Saccharomyces cerevisiae S288C: one gene and its partners. Changing the gene in region 1 together with any one later gene gives a genetic interaction. Each region holds a gene or a part of one and is shown in the gene's direction. Other genes may lie near its edges. The genes, in order: HOM2, SSP2, MCK1 and HOM6.

What was found.
Region 2: mutations in HOM2 (region 1) and SSP2 together harm fitness more than expected from each alone (negative genetic interaction), as found in Saccharomyces cerevisiae (2 studies listed by BioGRID).
Region 3: mutations in HOM2 (region 1) and MCK1 together harm fitness more than expected from each alone (negative genetic interaction), as found in Saccharomyces cerevisiae (3 studies listed by BioGRID).
Region 4: mutations in HOM2 (region 1) and HOM6 together harm fitness less than expected from each alone (positive genetic interaction), as found in Saccharomyces cerevisiae (5 studies listed by BioGRID, with this or other methods).

What each region holds. Positions count from the first base shown.
Region 1 is NC_001136.10:767,438-771,954, forward strand, and holds HOM2 (aspartate-semialdehyde dehydrogenase), read left to right. Parts: upstream 1-2,919; coding exon 2,920-4,017; downstream 4,018-4,517. Other genes in the region: ENT5 (Ent5p), read right to left, coding at 1-534; peptidylprolyl isomerase CPR1, read right to left, coding at 1,075-1,563; DNA-directed RNA polymerase I subunit RPA14, read left to right, coding at 2,088-2,501; YDR157W (uncharacterized protein), read left to right, coding at 2,494-2,895; SAC3 (Sac3p), read left to right, coding at 4,440-4,517. UniProt on the Saccharomyces cerevisiae protein: Catalyzes the NADPH-dependent formation of L-aspartate 4-semialdehyde (L-ASA) by the reductive dephosphorylation of 4-phospho-L-aspartate.
Region 2 is NC_001147.6:788,242-791,545, reverse strand, and holds SSP2 (Ssp2p), read left to right. Parts: upstream 1-1,688; coding exon 1,689-2,804; downstream 2,805-3,304. Other genes in the region: pseudouridine synthase PUS7, read left to right, coding at 1-1,335; MET7 (tetrahydrofolate synthase), read right to left, coding at 2,905-3,304. UniProt on the Saccharomyces cerevisiae protein: Essential for sporulation and seems to have a role at the time of, or after, initiation of nuclear division. Appears to have a role in outer spore wall formation.
Region 3 is NC_001146.8:54,968-59,234, reverse strand, and holds MCK1 (serine/threonine/tyrosine protein kinase MCK1), read left to right. Parts: upstream 1-1,661; coding exon 1,662-2,789; downstream 2,790-4,267. Other genes in the region: BXI1 (Bxi1p), read left to right, coding at 1-337; mitochondrial 37S ribosomal protein uS11m MRPS18, read right to left, coding at 427-1,080; KRI1 (Kri1p), read left to right, coding at 3,338-4,267. UniProt on the Saccharomyces cerevisiae protein: May be an autophosphorylating tyrosine kinase, a bifunctional (serine/tyrosine-specific) protein kinase, or a serine kinase that is a substrate for an associated tyrosine kinase.
Region 4 is NC_001142.9:687,967-692,450, reverse strand, and holds HOM6 (homoserine dehydrogenase), read left to right. Parts: upstream 1-1,926; coding exon 1,927-3,006; downstream 3,007-4,484. Other genes in the region: HIR3 (Hir3p), read left to right, coding at 1-1,701; GTPase-activating protein IML1, read right to left, coding at 3,130-4,484. UniProt on the Saccharomyces cerevisiae protein: Catalyzes the conversion of L-aspartate-beta-semialdehyde (L-Asa) to L-homoserine (L-Hse), the third step in the biosynthesis of amino acids that derive from aspartate (the aspartate family of amino acids), including methioinine and threonine, the latter of which is a precursor to isoleucine; production of homoserine leads to a branch-point in the pathway as it can either be O-phosphorylated for processing to threonine, or O-acylated for processing to methionine.

The sequences.
Region 1 (4,517 bases):
TTGTGAGTCTTCCAAGTATTGCAAGATAAGTTCTCCCTTTTTCCTAATACCTCTCTCATGAATCTCCATTTTACCATCATTGGAGAATTTTACCTTGAATTGGGCAATCTCCCTGGTTAAAATATGCTTATGAGTGAGCAAACATGATCTAATCTGATTCAGTTCGTCACCTGTGTCGACGTTCAATAATAGGAATTCAATGACTACTAGACATTTTAAGACCACCCTCCATTCGGACCCATAATTAACGTAGTCCTTTCTTGCCTTTTCGTATAGGTTCTTGGGCCTGGTAGCGATATGGTCGACTAATCTTTTCAACGTGTATTCTGTCATCAAGTAGAGCGGCACTTGGTATCTGTTCCTTAAAACCTTGGCGAGGTGCTTCGGTGTGGGGCCCCAAGCATCGGTATTTGTAGCACGACGGATATCTATCTGATAAGGCTCATATTGGACTATCACGTTTTGGGCAAACCTTGCGGCATTTCTAATATCATGGATACCTAAATTTTGAATCTTTTTTGATAATGAGTCCATTTTGTATGGTGTTGGTATTTATGCAATTGGAACGTTTAATTTGTGTATATGAATTTCCCTTCCGATTTGTATATTGGATAGAAATATAATTTTTTAAAAAAAGTAAACTATAAGCAGCCTGGAAAGATAAGCTAGACCAATTCTTATTGATAAAAAACTAAAGATAAATTCAACCGAAAACTAAAATCTAGATTGAAATTAAAACAAGAATGAATGAATGGATCAAAGGACCTGAATATGAAAAAAAGTGCAGGAGAAAGAAAATTTTCTCGCTGTGGAAAATAAGCCGAAAATCCGTTACCTAGAGGAAAGAAAGAAACGTGGGAAAAACAGGGGGCGGTACCCGGCGGCGTCAACTTAACAGGCATAACCTAGGCGGTAGTTGGCTAGTTGGCAAGCCTGGCAACATACTCCGATATAGGTAGGAAGAGTTAGTTATAAGAATTGATTGTCATACATACACATACCTTATACATATACATATAATTTAAGAGAGAATAGTTCGTTTCAATTTTTGCTGTATTGTTCCAGGCAGAGCGGTTATAATTCACCGGACTTGGCAACAACAATTCTAGCCTTGGTGGCACCGGAAGGAGAACCCAAGGACTCAACCTTCTTAACGATGTCGTAACCGTCAACAACTTCACCAAAGACAACATGCTTACCGTCCAACCATGGGCATGGAACGGTGGTGATGAAGAATTGAGAACCGTTGGTGTTTGGACCGGCGTTGGCCATGGACAACAAACCTGGTCTGTCGTGGTGCTTCTTGAAGTTTTCATCTGGGAATTTGCCACCGTAGATAGACTTACCGCCGGTACCGTTACCAGCAGTGAAGTCACCACCTTGCAACATGAAGTCTGGAATAACTCTGTGGAATGGAGAGCCAGCGTAGCCGAATCCCTTTTCACCGGTACATAGAGCTCTGAAGTTTTCTGCAGTCTTTGGGACTATGTCGTTGTACAACTTGAAAACGACACGGCCAATTGGTTGGCCATCAGCTTCGACATCAAAATAGACTTGGGACATGGTAGTATTAGCGGTTGAGTTTGGATTGAGTTGAGATATTAAATTCAAGACAAATCTTAATATAACCTATCTAGCGAAAAAGGAGGAACAAATGATGACGACAGTGGCAAAAGGATAGAAGGCTCAAGAGAATACGTTTATATTTATACAGGGAATCGAACAGACACTTGTCAGCGTAAGCCCAACCAAAGTGAGAAGGGCCACGGCCATTACCAGAGACAGAAATGAGTGGAAGCGCGTGGAAGCCCGTCTAGCAGAGGAAGAAATTCGAGACGAGGCGGGACGTGGCGGGCTGGGCGCCCCAGAAAATACCGTAGAGGACGAGGGGGGCGGTGGAAACCCCTAAGGGGCGAAAGGCGGGTAACATCTAACAGCGACGGGTAAGCATATTGCGGGTGTAAAATTTTTCATTTCGAGCTTACTTCAAGATGATGCATATGTTTAAATCACATTGATTATAGAGGTCTCATCGGTAAGGCAGAGCAGAACTGGAGACGTCTGAGGTAAGATTTCGATAATACAAGATGATGAAAGGTTCTAGAAGAACAGGTAATAACACTGCTACCACGCTAAACACGCCTGTGGTCATTCATGCCACGCAGCTGCCCCAACATGTCTCTACTGACGAGGTTCTTCAATTTCTGGAGAGCTTTATCGATGAGAAGGAGAACATTATTGATAGTACTACCATGAATACCATCAGCGGCAACGCCGCTGACGCGGACGCTGCCGCTGTGGCTAACACCAGCCTCAACATCGACACCAACCTTTCCAGCTCCATATCGCAATTAAAGAGGATTCAGAGAGACTTCAAGGGTCTGCCACCCGCCCAAGACTTTTCCGCCGCGCCCATTCAGGTCTCCACGACGGAGAAGAAGGAGACAAGCATAGGTGTTAGTGCCACCGGCGGCAAGAAAACTACATTCGCCGATGAGTGAGACCTGTAGCAGCAGCCTTGCCCTTTTACACAAAATCCTACATATCCATTCACATACGCCTTCTGTATACTACAATATATGCATATCAGTTAGAATTCTGACATCTGAACGTCTTCAGTGCTTTTTTTTCTCTTTCTTTCCAGATCCAAATATCACCGGCAGCGGCCTCAAAGTACCCGGTTTTCTTTTTTTTCACACTTTTTTTTTTTCCAAATCATGTTGTCAAGCATTGATTGACTCATTTTCCTCTGACTACTACCAGTTCAAAATGTTAGAGAAAAATAGAAAAGCAGAAAAAATAAATAAAAGAACCATATTTATTTGTTCATTCACTTTCGAGTATAAAATTAAATCTTGTTTTTCTTGTTTTCACTTAAGTACACATACAAATTAAATTGTAGAAATAAAGCGTTCTAAAATGGCTGGAAAGAAAATTGCTGGTGTTTTGGGTGCTACTGGTTCCGTTGGTCAACGTTTCATTCTGTTGTTGGCAAATCACCCTCATTTCGAACTGAAAGTTCTTGGTGCCTCTTCTAGATCAGCTGGCAAGAAATACGTTGACGCTGTGAACTGGAAGCAAACCGATTTGCTACCGGAATCTGCTACCGATATTATTGTTTCCGAATGTAAATCTGAATTCTTTAAAGAGTGTGACATCGTCTTTTCCGGATTGGATGCTGACTATGCTGGCGCTATCGAAAAGGAATTCATGGAAGCTGGTATCGCCATTGTTTCCAATGCCAAGAATTATAGAAGAGAACAAGATGTGCCATTGATTGTTCCTGTTGTCAATCCTGAGCATTTGGATATTGTAGCTCAAAAGCTTGACACCGCCAAGGCTCAAGGTAAGCCAAGACCAGGGTTCATTATCTGTATTTCCAATTGTTCCACTGCAGGTTTGGTTGCACCATTGAAGCCTTTGATTGAAAAATTCGGTCCTATTGATGCTTTGACCACTACTACTTTGCAAGCAATCTCAGGTGCTGGTTTCTCCCCAGGTGTACCAGGTATTGATATTCTAGACAATATTATTCCATACATTGGTGGTGAAGAAGACAAGATGGAATGGGAGACCAAGAAAATCTTGGCTCCATTAGCAGAAGACAAGACACACGTCAAACTATTGACTCCAGAAGAAATCAAAGTCTCTGCTCAATGTAACAGAGTCGCTGTTTCCGATGGGCACACCGAATGTATCTCTTTGAGGTTCAAGAACAGACCTGCTCCATCCGTCGAGCAAGTCAAGACATGCCTAAAAGAATACGTCTGCGATGCCTACAAATTAGGCTGTCATTCTGCTCCAAAGCAAACTATTCATGTTTTGGAACAACCAGACAGACCTCAACCAAGGTTGGACAGGAACAGAGACAGCGGTTACGGTGTTTCCGTTGGTAGAATCAGAGAAGACCCATTGTTAGATTTCAAAATGGTTGTCCTTTCCCACAACACCATTATTGGTGCCGCTGGTTCTGGTGTCTTGATTGCCGAAATCTTACTAGCAAGAAACTTGATTTAAGGAAAAATTGCAAAGTTATGTCTTCATCTTACTTTTTTTTCGAACGAACAAAAAATACAAAACAAGTAAATAAGTATATGTGTATGAATATACGTATAATAATTTGAAACGTAGATCTTTATTATTAGTTTCTTGAGTTTCGAGAATTCGTGATTCAATGTTCATTATTTTTTCTTTTCTTTTCTTTTCAATAGTATAATACCAAGCCTTTATTATTTTTCTTCCACTTCAAGAAAAGGTAATTCTCTCGCTGACCCAAGAAAAAAGCTAAACAGAGAGCGTAGTGATGCATACAAACAACTCATTTACATGGGAAAAAAAAGGAGAGAGGAAAGCAGCAGACATATCTCAAAGCTGGGATACACTCACAATAGCACTGTTGGTACTCATTTCAGGTAATACTCTTGGAAGGTATCCCTTAAATGAACACATCATTTGGCTCAGTAGTGCCTTCCACTAATTTCAATTTTTTCAAAGGGCATGGAAATAATGATAACACT
Region 2 (3,304 bases), on another chromosome or scaffold:
GAAGCTGTCAATGTTATAACAAAGTTGTTAAGAGTTCCAAGCCGTGTAATTAGATATGCAGGTACTAAGGATCGTAGAGCAGTAACGTGCCAAAGGGTTTCGATTTCAAAGATTGGTTTGGATAGACTAAATGCTTTAAATAGGACTTTAAAAGGAATGATTATCGGAAATTACAATTTTTCGGATGCAAGTTTGAATCTGGGAGACTTGAAGGGAAATGAGTTCGTTGTTGTTATTAGAGATGTTACCACCGGCAATAGTGAGGTATCACTGGAAGAAATTGTGTCTAACGGCTGTAAGTCTTTATCAGAAAATGGGTTTATCAATTATTTTGGTATGCAGAGATTCGGTACATTCAGTATTTCTACGCACACAATTGGTAGAGAATTGCTCCTTTCAAACTGGAAGAAGGCTGCTGAGTTGATTTTATCTGACCAGGATAACGTGCTTCCTAAATCTAAGGAAGCTAGGAAGATTTGGGCAGAAACTAAGGACGCGGCTTTAGCATTGAAGCAGATGCCAAGACAGTGTCTCGCAGAAAATGCGTTACTATATTCTTTATCTAATCAAAGAAAAGAAGAAGATGGAACTTATTCTGAGAACGCTTATTATACTGCTATTATGAAAATTCCCAGAAATTTGAGAACTATGTATGTACATGCCTACCAAAGTTACGTCTGGAATTCTATTGCTAGTAAGCGGATAGAACTACATGGTTTGAAGTTAGTTGTAGGTGACCTTGTCATTGATACTAGTGAAAAGTCACCACTAATTTCTGGGATTGACGATGAAGACTTTGATGAAGATGTCCGTGAAGCTCAGTTCATTCGTGCAAAAGCAGTAACTCAAGAGGATATCGACTCAGTTAAGTATACCATGGAAGATGTCGTGTTACCATCGCCGGGTTTTGATGTGCTTTATCCTTCCAACGAAGAATTGAAGCAACTGTATGTGGATATATTGAAAGCAGATAATATGGACCCATTTAATATGAGAAGAAAAGTTCGCGATTTTTCATTGGCTGGCTCTTATAGAACTGTTATTCAAAAGCCAAAGAGTTTAGAGTATAGAATAATTCACTATGATGATCCTTCTCAACAATTGGTGAACACTGATTTGGACATCCTGAATAACACCAGAGCAAAAGAAAGCGGCCAGAAGTATATGAAAGCCAAGTTGGACAGATATATGCCAGATAAAGGCGGTGAGAAGACTGCGGTGGTGTTAAAATTTCAATTAGGAACCTCCGCATATGCCACCATGGCATTACGTGAACTCATGAAGCTTGAGACTTCTCGCCGTGGCGACATGTGTGATGTTAAGGAGAATATCTAAGGTTATACGAGGTGCAATATTCATGTATATTAGTTTACTTTTTTTGTCGGAAGCTCTTTCCCTCATACACTATTGTTGTGTCCGTGTCGTGTCACTTCAGGCGTCGGTAAATATGTATCTGCGCATCGCACACAAAGATAAAGCCTTTTTAAATATAAACAACACCTTCTAGATATATCTTATCAAAGGATACAACCACGTTTCTCAACAAGAAGGACCTAATAGAGGAAAATTATTATACTGTAGCTATCAATATTTTATAAACAAAAAGACAGATATATTCTCGCGTATTGAAGTCGGGAATCCAACGAAGGTAAAATAATAATAAAATACGAAGCATTTAATCCGGTCAAATGTACAAGAACTATTATTCAAACACAGAAGTTTATAAAAAGCATAAAGACTCTGGAAGTTTGAGGAAGAAAGCTTTGAGATCGAGAAGATCATCTTTTTTTTCATTTTTCAATGACTCGTCTAGTTCGAATGGAAACGAATTCATAGGTTTTAGACGATTTGCAAAAGCATATCTGTTTGGTCGTGAGATAGGTTCATGTGGTACAGATTCATATACACCAGTTGGGGCAAATGTAAACAAAAGACGTTTAAAAAAAGAAGATAAAAACGATCAACAGCTTTGGAAAAGGCAGCACCATTCACAGGGTTGTTTTTTTCCCATAGATGATGACAGTAATAAGCAAACAGAAGCAGCCGTCAACAAATTTTATGAGAATGGAGAATACGTTAATCAGGATTTAATTTTCAAGGGAAAAGTATATTCAGAAGAATCAGAGGTTGTTGATGAGAAAACGGCAGGTTCTCAGAATCCCGCTCTTCTCAAAACAAGATCAATTTCATTAAACGATATACCGCGCGGCACAGGCATCTCTAGTGTATTGTCTCAAGTACGCGGAGGTTCCTTAGAAAGAATTATTGTCTATAGGTACGATACTCCGGAACGTTCTTTGCATAAAGTTGATCTTTTCTTCTTAAATTACGAGGGAGCTCAATCTTTTATGAGATACGCAAAAACAAATATTTTTAAAGTTAATGGAGTTCAATTAAAACCAGAATGGATATTCCTCGAGAGCACATATGAAAACATAATGAAAGAGCAATCTGTCAACAGAATAATAGAAGAGGAAAAGTTCATATCAAGATGTTTGATAGTGAAAAAAAGCTCGACAACAGCAATGCCTAACAAATCAAATCTGAATAAAGGGCAAACTTTAGAAAACATTGATATTCAAGAATTAGAAAAAGATTTTCAGAATTTTGGAGAGGTTCTAGAAATTACGCCTATTGTATCAAGAAAATTATGCGTATCTATATTCTTTTACGATATTTCCAGTGCTATGAGAGCTATGGAAGAATACGAACAAAAGGGCTCATATCTATATAATAAATATTTTAAAACATGGACAATATGGTACGGGAAAGATATTACAGACCAGCCTTGCATTGACTTGTAGTACGAATTTTTAAGTTGATAACTAAATTACTCTTCAACAAATAAATAAATGCAAATGAAGTCCATTATGTACGATTTTTAAAGTGCAAGTTACTTTCAAATTACTTTACATCTATTCTATCAAAAACGACCAATAATCCGCCAACAAGATGTAATGAACCAGTTACAAATATATCAGCAGGTTCATCGTATAGCGTTTCAATCAATTCATTTGCTTCCTCTATACTAGCCGTTACATGCGTTTTAGCACGATTATCGTCTATTTTGTTCCAATTCTTGACTAATGACTCCTGGACTTTCAATTTTTCTACATCTTCTTGAGAAGTGTTCATGGAAACGAGGTCAGCGCTGTATGAGCCTGATTTCCAAGTGACATTAGTAGTAAATATCACATCATCGAACGTTATTTCTGGCGAAACAGATGAGTACAGGTTATTCACAAGAGCGTTGGCATCTCTGCTTTGTTGGTTGAAGAGCAAGATCTTCTTTCTCTTCGACAAT
Region 3 (4,267 bases), on another chromosome or scaffold:
CGTTTCCTTGACCGCACTATCAGAGAGATTCGAGAACGTGCTGAATTCCGCAACGTCAATATACTATTGGTTAAACTGGGGTCTATGGATTATGATCGGAATGGGTCTCACGGCCTTGCTTTTCGGCTGGAATACCCACTCTTCCAAGTTTAATCTGCTTTACGGCTGGCTTGGTGCCATTTTATTTACCGCGTATCTTTTCATCGATACGCAACTGATTTTTAGGAAAGTGTATCCTGATGAAGAAGTTAGATGCGCCATGATGCTTTACCTGGACATCGTCAATTTGTTTTTGTCTATTTTAAGGATTTTGGCCAACTCTAACGACGACAATTAAAAAAAGGGAAAAATCGAATTATTTACACGAATATATATATATTTCTTCTTCTTTTACATAGTTTATAATTCATACATAGTGGGAGCTGATCATAGTCTTCTCATCTTTGGTGATCTTACACCACCAAACTTCAATTTGGTGGCATCGCTGATCTTCACAACCTTTTTCACCACACTGGCCCCTTCCTTACCAACAAGAGCGGAAATAAAAGCAGCTCTGCCCTTCCCAAAGTCGTCCATCACCACTTCGATATCTTTGTTCAGCATGTTCTTTTCCTTAATCAATTCAAACATTCTACCACTGGTTTGAAATGCAGCTTCATACTCCCCTCTTGCTGCCTTCCTAAACCCTAAACAACCTGTAGATAGCGAAATCTTCACTTTCTGGGGTAAGTTCAAATAGTACAGCATTGTATCATTATACGTAAGTCCCTTATTCTTATGAAAGTTCTTGTCCTCCACAACGCTTGAAAATGTCAAATGCGTGTTATTTTTAGTAAACTTGCCATGTAGAATGTACTTAACTACTTCCTCTTTGGGCTTGTAAACCTCACTACTACCATTTGACTTTGTCAAAACTGAGTCAGAGGACGAAGGATACGAGATATTCGTGATATCCTCCTGATTTGAAATATCCTTAAATGAAAAAGGAACTCCTCTATTCGTGCCGGTAGAATTCCATCTTCTGATAGGCCTGACAAACTGCGTCCATCGGCAGCCTTTCCAAACAGGTTGTAACAGCATCACACGTAACTATAACAGTTCACACTGTCACTTTTTCTTTTCAGAAGAACCACTGCTTTCCACCTGATTTACTCTCATTTTGTCTTCCCTCTTTCCCAATTCATCGTTATTATGCCAAACAGTCACGAAGTACGAAACAAACACTCTCCGCTGCTATAGAAAGTTCCAATCTTAGGCTGAATAATGGAATACTAGTAGCTCAGTGATTATCATCATAATTGAAGCTATCATTAAAAAGCATGCAGCCATATTATGCAGGAATTATATGATCACACGTAGCTGTAGTGGCTTTCGAAAGCAGCATTCTTGCTTCCACTCAGTTCGTATGTAATGACAGTTCAGTGACCCACAAACAACACTGAAAAAAGCGACCTTCATATGCGGAAGAGGGCAGGCGTAACCTCCAAGGGAAAACGACATAGATTTCGCAAGTGAGTGCCATTGTGTCGTGTTAGTAGTGTGGGCAGGCCCGTAACGTGTTTATTGATAGGAGTTAAGCCCAAGACTACAGAGTTCTTTGCTTCATCTTTCAATTTTCTTTTTATTTTCCGAAACCCCCACTCCATCACATTCTAGTACATATGTCTACGGAAGAGCAGAATGGTGTTCCTCTGCAAAGGGGATCTGAATTCATTGCAGACGATGTAACCTCGAATAAATCGAACAACACGAGGCGGATGCTGGTGAAAGAGTACAGGAAAATCGGTAGAGGTGCCTTTGGGACTGTTGTACAAGCATATTTAACCCAGGATAAGAAAAACTGGTTGGGCCCCTTTGCAATTAAAAAAGTCCCTGCTCATACCGAGTACAAGTCCAGGGAATTACAGATTCTGAGGATTGCCGACCATCCAAATATCGTTAAATTGCAGTATTTCTTTACTCATTTGTCCCCGCAAGATAATAAAGTTTATCAACACCTTGCCATGGAATGCTTACCAGAAACTCTACAAATCGAGATTAATCGTTATGTGACAAACAAGCTAGAAATGCCATTAAAACATATCAGGCTATACACTTATCAGATTGCCCGCGGGATGCTTTATTTACACGGTCTTGGCGTTTGTCATCGTGATATCAAACCATCCAATGTTCTTGTAGACCCGGAAACCGGTGTCTTGAAAATCTGCGATTTTGGGTCTGCCAAAAAATTGGAACATAACCAGCCTTCAATTAGTTACATCTGTTCAAGATTTTATAGAGCGCCTGAATTGATCATTGGTTGTACCCAATATACCACCCAGATCGATATATGGGGGCTTGGTTGTGTCATGGGCGAGATGCTTATCGGCAAAGCCATATTTCAAGGTCAAGAACCCCTTCTACAGCTAAGGGAAATTGCTAAATTGTTAGGTCCTCCCGATAAAAGATTCATTTTCTTTTCGAATCCGGCCTACGATGGCCCTCTATTTTCCAAACCACTGTTCTCGGGCTCTTCGCAACAGAGGTTTGAGAAGTATTTTGGCCATTCCGGTCCAGATGGTATCGATCTTTTGATGAAAATATTGGTCTACGAACCACAACAAAGACTGTCTCCAAGAAGAATCCTTGCCCATCAGTTCTTTAATGAATTAAGGAATGATGACACTTTCTTACCAAGAGGTTTCACTGAACCAATCAAGCTACCAAATTTGTTTGATTTTAATGATTTTGAGTTACAAATTCTGGGTGAATTTGCTGATAAAATTAAACCTACGAAAGTTGCTGAATAATAATTTTCTATTAATTTGTTCTCTTTCCCCTCGGAAAATTTAATGAACAAAATACTATGATTTTTTTCACCTTTGATCCGCTGTTTATATTTCACTTGGAAAAGAAAAAAAATTTTTTGGAATAAAATATATTCAAATTTCCATTTGATATTATCATACACTTCTTTTATCCAGTCACTCCTTCAATTTCTTCTTTATTTTTTATTTTATGTTCCTAATTTTTTTTTATCTCTTTCCTATTTCCTGTTCTTTTATTAATCTGAAATATTATTATTACTTTAGTGTTAGTTTATAATTTTAATTAGGCCTACGTGGCTTGTAATAAATTGCCTCGCATGTTATCATTACTTATATAAAAGTATTATTGAAATACCGTCGTTATTTTTTGATATTTATGTGAGAAAAAAGTATTACCCGGAGGAGCCGCAAGGTCATCGGTTAAAATTTTTCAAATATATCAATCTCATCTCATCTAGTTAACAGAACCATTTCTTCAGAAAGCAAAATGCTCATAGTTTTCAACAACAGTGTGATATACCCTAAATTCAATGCCAAGAAAAAAGTCTGCCGCTAAAAGAGCTAGAGAACAAGCAAAAAAAGAAGCGGCCGTACCTGCAACGGATACTGCTACCATAAAAACTTCTGAAACCTCTGCGACGACAGTTAAGCCTGCAATCGAAGCAAGCAAATCGTACGTTCCTAGTGAAGATGAGGAAGAAGACGAAGAGGAAGAAGAGGAGGAAGATGATTACGGTGAATTGATTACTGATGAAGTGGAAAACGGTATTAATCAAGTGCTAGATGCCATCAAAAACAATAAGACGGACAAACTACTAGATCCTAAAGTCAAATTCTTCGAGGATCCCGAATCTGCTGCTGCCAAACTGGCCAATCGTGAGGGGAAGCATAAACCTATTTACCTAAAAGATTATCACCGTATGAACATACTTTCTGGTGATGCCTTAAAGGAGGATGACGAAGAATACGAACATGCAACTGTTGACGGAAAGCAATCTTTCGTCTCGCAACAACGTGAAGAGAAAACTCAGCTTTTAAATGAAATCAAGAGTGCCTTTAGCGATGAAGAAAATGAAGAGTCTAGCGGAGATGAAGACGATGGGTTTTTGAAGAAAAAGGAACCTTCTACGAAGAAGGAAGGAAAAAATTTACCGGATCCAACCGTAAATGAAGAAAATTTCTTGGAAGAATTTGTGAATCAACAGGCCTGGATTCCTAAGAAGGGGGACAAGGTGATTTCTCTTGACCTCAACAATAATGAAGAGGACGATGAAGAATTTGAAGATGCTGCAGAAAAATTTGAGAATGCCTACAATTTTAGGTACGAGGACCCAAACGCAGCTGAAATTATATCTTATGCACGTAGTCAAGCTACACTAAGAAGATCCGATGACTCTTCACGCAGAAGAAAAAGAGAGGAAAAAAGAAAAATTAAAGAGCAAATAAAAGCAGAGAAGGAG
Region 4 (4,484 bases), on another chromosome or scaffold:
TTGTTCTACGTATCCAGCTTACAGTCCCTGGGTTTGTATAAAATGAGAAAGAAGTCTATGCAAGCAAGACCTTCTGAATTAGACTCCATTATCAGAATGTTAAAGAATGACATTATATACAACACAAACCGTTTCGAAAGTTGGATATTACTCGGAAAGTGTTACAGTTATATTGTTGAAGATGATTTAATATGGACCTCAGATAAGATCACTGTCCCTGAGAAAAAAGATGTTATTGCTTTGACTCAAAGAAAGGCAATATTGTGTTATTTAATGGCCATTTCCATTTATTATAGTAAGTTGGATCGAACTATTGACGATAAAAAGATTATATTGGAGGCATTGGATGACTTAGGATCTATGCTGATTAGCGGCTACTATAATCCCATGAATAAGCTTTGTTTTAGCTGGAAAAGCAGTGCTGAGAATACAATGAGATTGTCTGAAACCGGTGAAGTAGTAATGGAAAAAACTAAGAAAATCACCACAATCTCAGACTTTAACATCGAGCAAAGTATATTTTTATGTTTTAATAGGGCTTGTTCTTTATCCGGCGATATCAAGTCACAGGACGATGTATTCGTGTTGAATTGGTCTAGTTTTTACAATCTGGCCAAGTTCTTTTTCAAAACAGATGGTGGTAATAATTGTAAATTAGTTGCCAAATATATTACTCAGGGTTGCCAAATAGCTTATGAGTCATCACCTGCTAAAGATCCGATCATAGAACCCCATTATCTGTTAGTTAATGCTTGTTACAAGTGGGTAAAAAGAGGCGTCATAGGTGTTAACGAAGCTCTGACCTTACTGTCTAAAGATAACCAATTCTTCCAGGAACAAGAGGAATTTTGGGTCAACGACGAAGGTCTTGCATGGGATTATCAAGAAAAATTCTTTTTTGACAAAATCATAAGACTACTTCGCCATTTACTATCTGTTGATAAAAAAAAATGGCAGCACAGACCTCGTTACAGAATAGCGCGCATATTGTTTGACGATTTGGGTGATGTGAACGGTGCTTTGGAGGAGATGGATAGCTTAATATCCGCAAAAAGTATAAACAAAAACTTGGTCAATATATGGAAACCAGATTTTGAAAGGCCAGGGAAACATTTCATCTATACTTACCAGTACCTGGTTTTGTATTTGGATTTACTCTTCGCAATAAAAGACTTCAATACAACAGGTCTTGTTATAAAAAAGCTAAGGCGATTTGGTTCTGGAACTGTGAACGTAAACGAACTATTAGAGCGTGCCATTAATGTGTACACGCAAAGTGCCAAAATCAAGCTGCAATTGCAAGACAAGAGCTACGTGGAGCAAATCCTTCCAACCTTGAACTACCAAGAATTCCTGAAGATTAGTGAGCAACTGAACCAAGTTTTCGACCAAGGAAAGTACCCTGAAGAAATATCATCCGGGTTAAAACTTGCTTTCCAGTTGAAAAAGGGACATAGCGGAATTGCATTTGACAGCGTTTGCTTGGGCATTTATTTCGAGTATCTCTATTTTCCTCTAGCTCGACAGGATCAATCCCTCACAGACGTGAACGATGAAAACAATCCAGCACTACCGTCATCAGGTTCTGTGACATCAAAAAGCACTCCAGACCCTACTTCTAAGCCAAGTGCAATTAAGAAACGTGTTACAAAGAAGGAAGTCTTCGATAGAGTGAGGCTATTAGTGGATAAGATCACGTGAGTTTTTCAATAACGCACATGGTGGTGTACGGGTGTGTTGATGACCATATTTTGGAAGAAGTGTGCCCTGGTGGTAAAGTTGGGTTGAATGGAACAGAAATGTATAAAGAATATGTAAATATTGCGGTTAGCGATAGACAATTTGTTGAAGCTAAATCTTCTGTGTGTGTACTCAGGACTGTTTTAAGAACGTAGATAGTATCATCAATCGAATAATAAAAAAAAAATGAGCACTAAAGTTGTTAATGTTGCCGTTATCGGTGCCGGTGTTGTTGGTTCAGCTTTCTTGGATCAATTGTTAGCCATGAAGTCTACCATTACTTACAATCTAGTTCTTTTGGCTGAAGCTGAGCGTTCTTTAATCTCCAAGGACTTTTCTCCATTAAATGTTGGTTCTGATTGGAAGGCTGCTTTAGCAGCCTCCACTACTAAAACGTTGCCTTTGGATGATTTAATTGCTCATTTGAAGACTTCACCTAAGCCAGTCATTTTGGTTGATAACACTTCCAGCGCTTACATTGCTGGTTTTTACACTAAGTTTGTCGAAAATGGTATTTCCATTGCTACTCCAAACAAGAAGGCCTTTTCCTCTGATTTGGCTACCTGGAAGGCTCTTTTCTCAAATAAGCCAACTAACGGTTTTGTCTATCATGAAGCTACCGTCGGTGCTGGTTTGCCTATCATCAGTTTCTTAAGAGAAATTATTCAAACCGGTGACGAAGTTGAAAAAATTGAAGGTATCTTCTCTGGTACTCTATCTTATATTTTCAACGAGTTCTCCACTAGTCAAGCTAACGACGTCAAATTCTCTGATGTTGTCAAAGTTGCTAAAAAATTGGGTTATACTGAACCAGATCCAAGAGATGATTTGAATGGGTTGGATGTTGCTAGAAAGGTTACCATTGTTGGTAGGATATCTGGTGTGGAAGTTGAATCTCCAACTTCCTTCCCTGTCCAGTCTTTGATTCCAAAACCATTGGAATCTGTCAAGTCTGCTGATGAATTCTTGGAAAAATTATCTGATTACGATAAAGATTTGACTCAATTGAAGAAGGAAGCTGCCACTGAAAATAAGGTATTGAGATTCATTGGTAAAGTCGATGTTGCCACCAAATCTGTGTCTGTAGGAATTGAAAAGTACGATTACTCACACCCATTCGCATCATTGAAGGGATCAGATAACGTTATTTCCATCAAGACTAAGCGTTACACCAATCCTGTTGTCATTCAAGGTGCCGGTGCCGGTGCTGCCGTTACTGCCGCTGGTGTTTTGGGTGATGTTATCAAGATTGCTCAAAGACTTTAGATCAGTAAACAGACATATAAAAACATAGGTATATTTATATATAAATAGATAACATTATGCTTTACTATCCACGTTCGAATATTATTTACTTTGTGAAGAAACTCATCCATGTCATGGGGCTACTCAATCTTCTACAATCTTTCCTGTAATCCACATTTCCTTTGCGTCAAGGAAAATTGACCTTAACTTCTGATAGTCCAAGCAAGTTGATTTGAAATTTAGGATCACTTTTTGAGCATCTAATGAAGAGCTTGAAGCAGAATGAATTTTCCCGATTATGTTTCCCGGATTCACTCTGGATATATAAATGTTGTTAGGAGCTAAAAATAGGCAGCCATTTTCCCTCAATTCCGCGACGTAAGCACCCGTATGATGAATATATTGAACATATTTGAACTGTGGTTTGCCCCATGAATACATGATGTCAAACTCTATATCTTGATTTTGTAAAAATTTGGATGCCCTATTGTCTAATAAAAACCCAGATGCCTTTAAAAGATAAACGTGGTAGTAGAATTTGCTTTTAGCGAAAAGCTCCCTATCCTTGAACTCAGGATCTTCCCAAGGATTGATAGCTAACTTAATTTCCACAAAAGAGTGAAATGGATTGACCGAAGGGATAGTACAAAGTTCTTCCCAAGGAATTTCAATCATTTTCAAACCGTACCTTTCGCATAACCTTGACCAGTTCCCAACCAAATCATCGATCAATTTTGGGGTGGTAGTCAACCATTCCAATCTTATGTGAAAACAGTGGTCGGGGTTATGAACTCTGTCATAATGGACTGTACACGATTCTTGTTTCGAGGATTTTCCCGCGGGATCAACATCGATAACAAGAGAGTTACTCAGCATTAAAATAGGGCGTGATGGCTCTTTGGCGTCAGCAACTGAAGCATTCGAAGCGCTTATAGCAGGTACTACTGAAGAAAAAGGAGTCATAGCGCTTGGATCGTTTGAGCTACCAGTGGATGCTTTTCTCAACATCTGCTTTGGATCGGATAATGTAGAGCGATGGGAGTTTGTTTTTTCTAGTTTATTAGTGTCCATTACGTATTCAGGTGAGAACTGGTAAAAGTAGTGCCCGTCCAAAAAATTGTGCTTATTTAAAACGTGAACAAATAATCCCTCTTTCATCACCTTCTGCCCATATTTAATTGCATCTTCTCGAGTATCTATATCAGAGAAGTTTCTTATGAGCCAATTAACCATCTCCGAGCCAACAAAACACTTTTCATGCTTTTTCCAGTGCCATTTTCTGTTGACTAAAGTAATGCGATCTTCGCCACGTTGAATTTGATACGCCAACTTGGATAGTTCTACATTTCTGTTTAAAAGGTTATTATCATTAACAAAAATTGAATCTTTAAAATTTATAGCCGAGCTTTCTAAAGATGTTTGTTGCTCATTAATGAAGTTGTAAAGCGGGCCGGTGTAAAACATAACTTCAGGCTGTATTTCTTCTCTCTTAGTTTTTC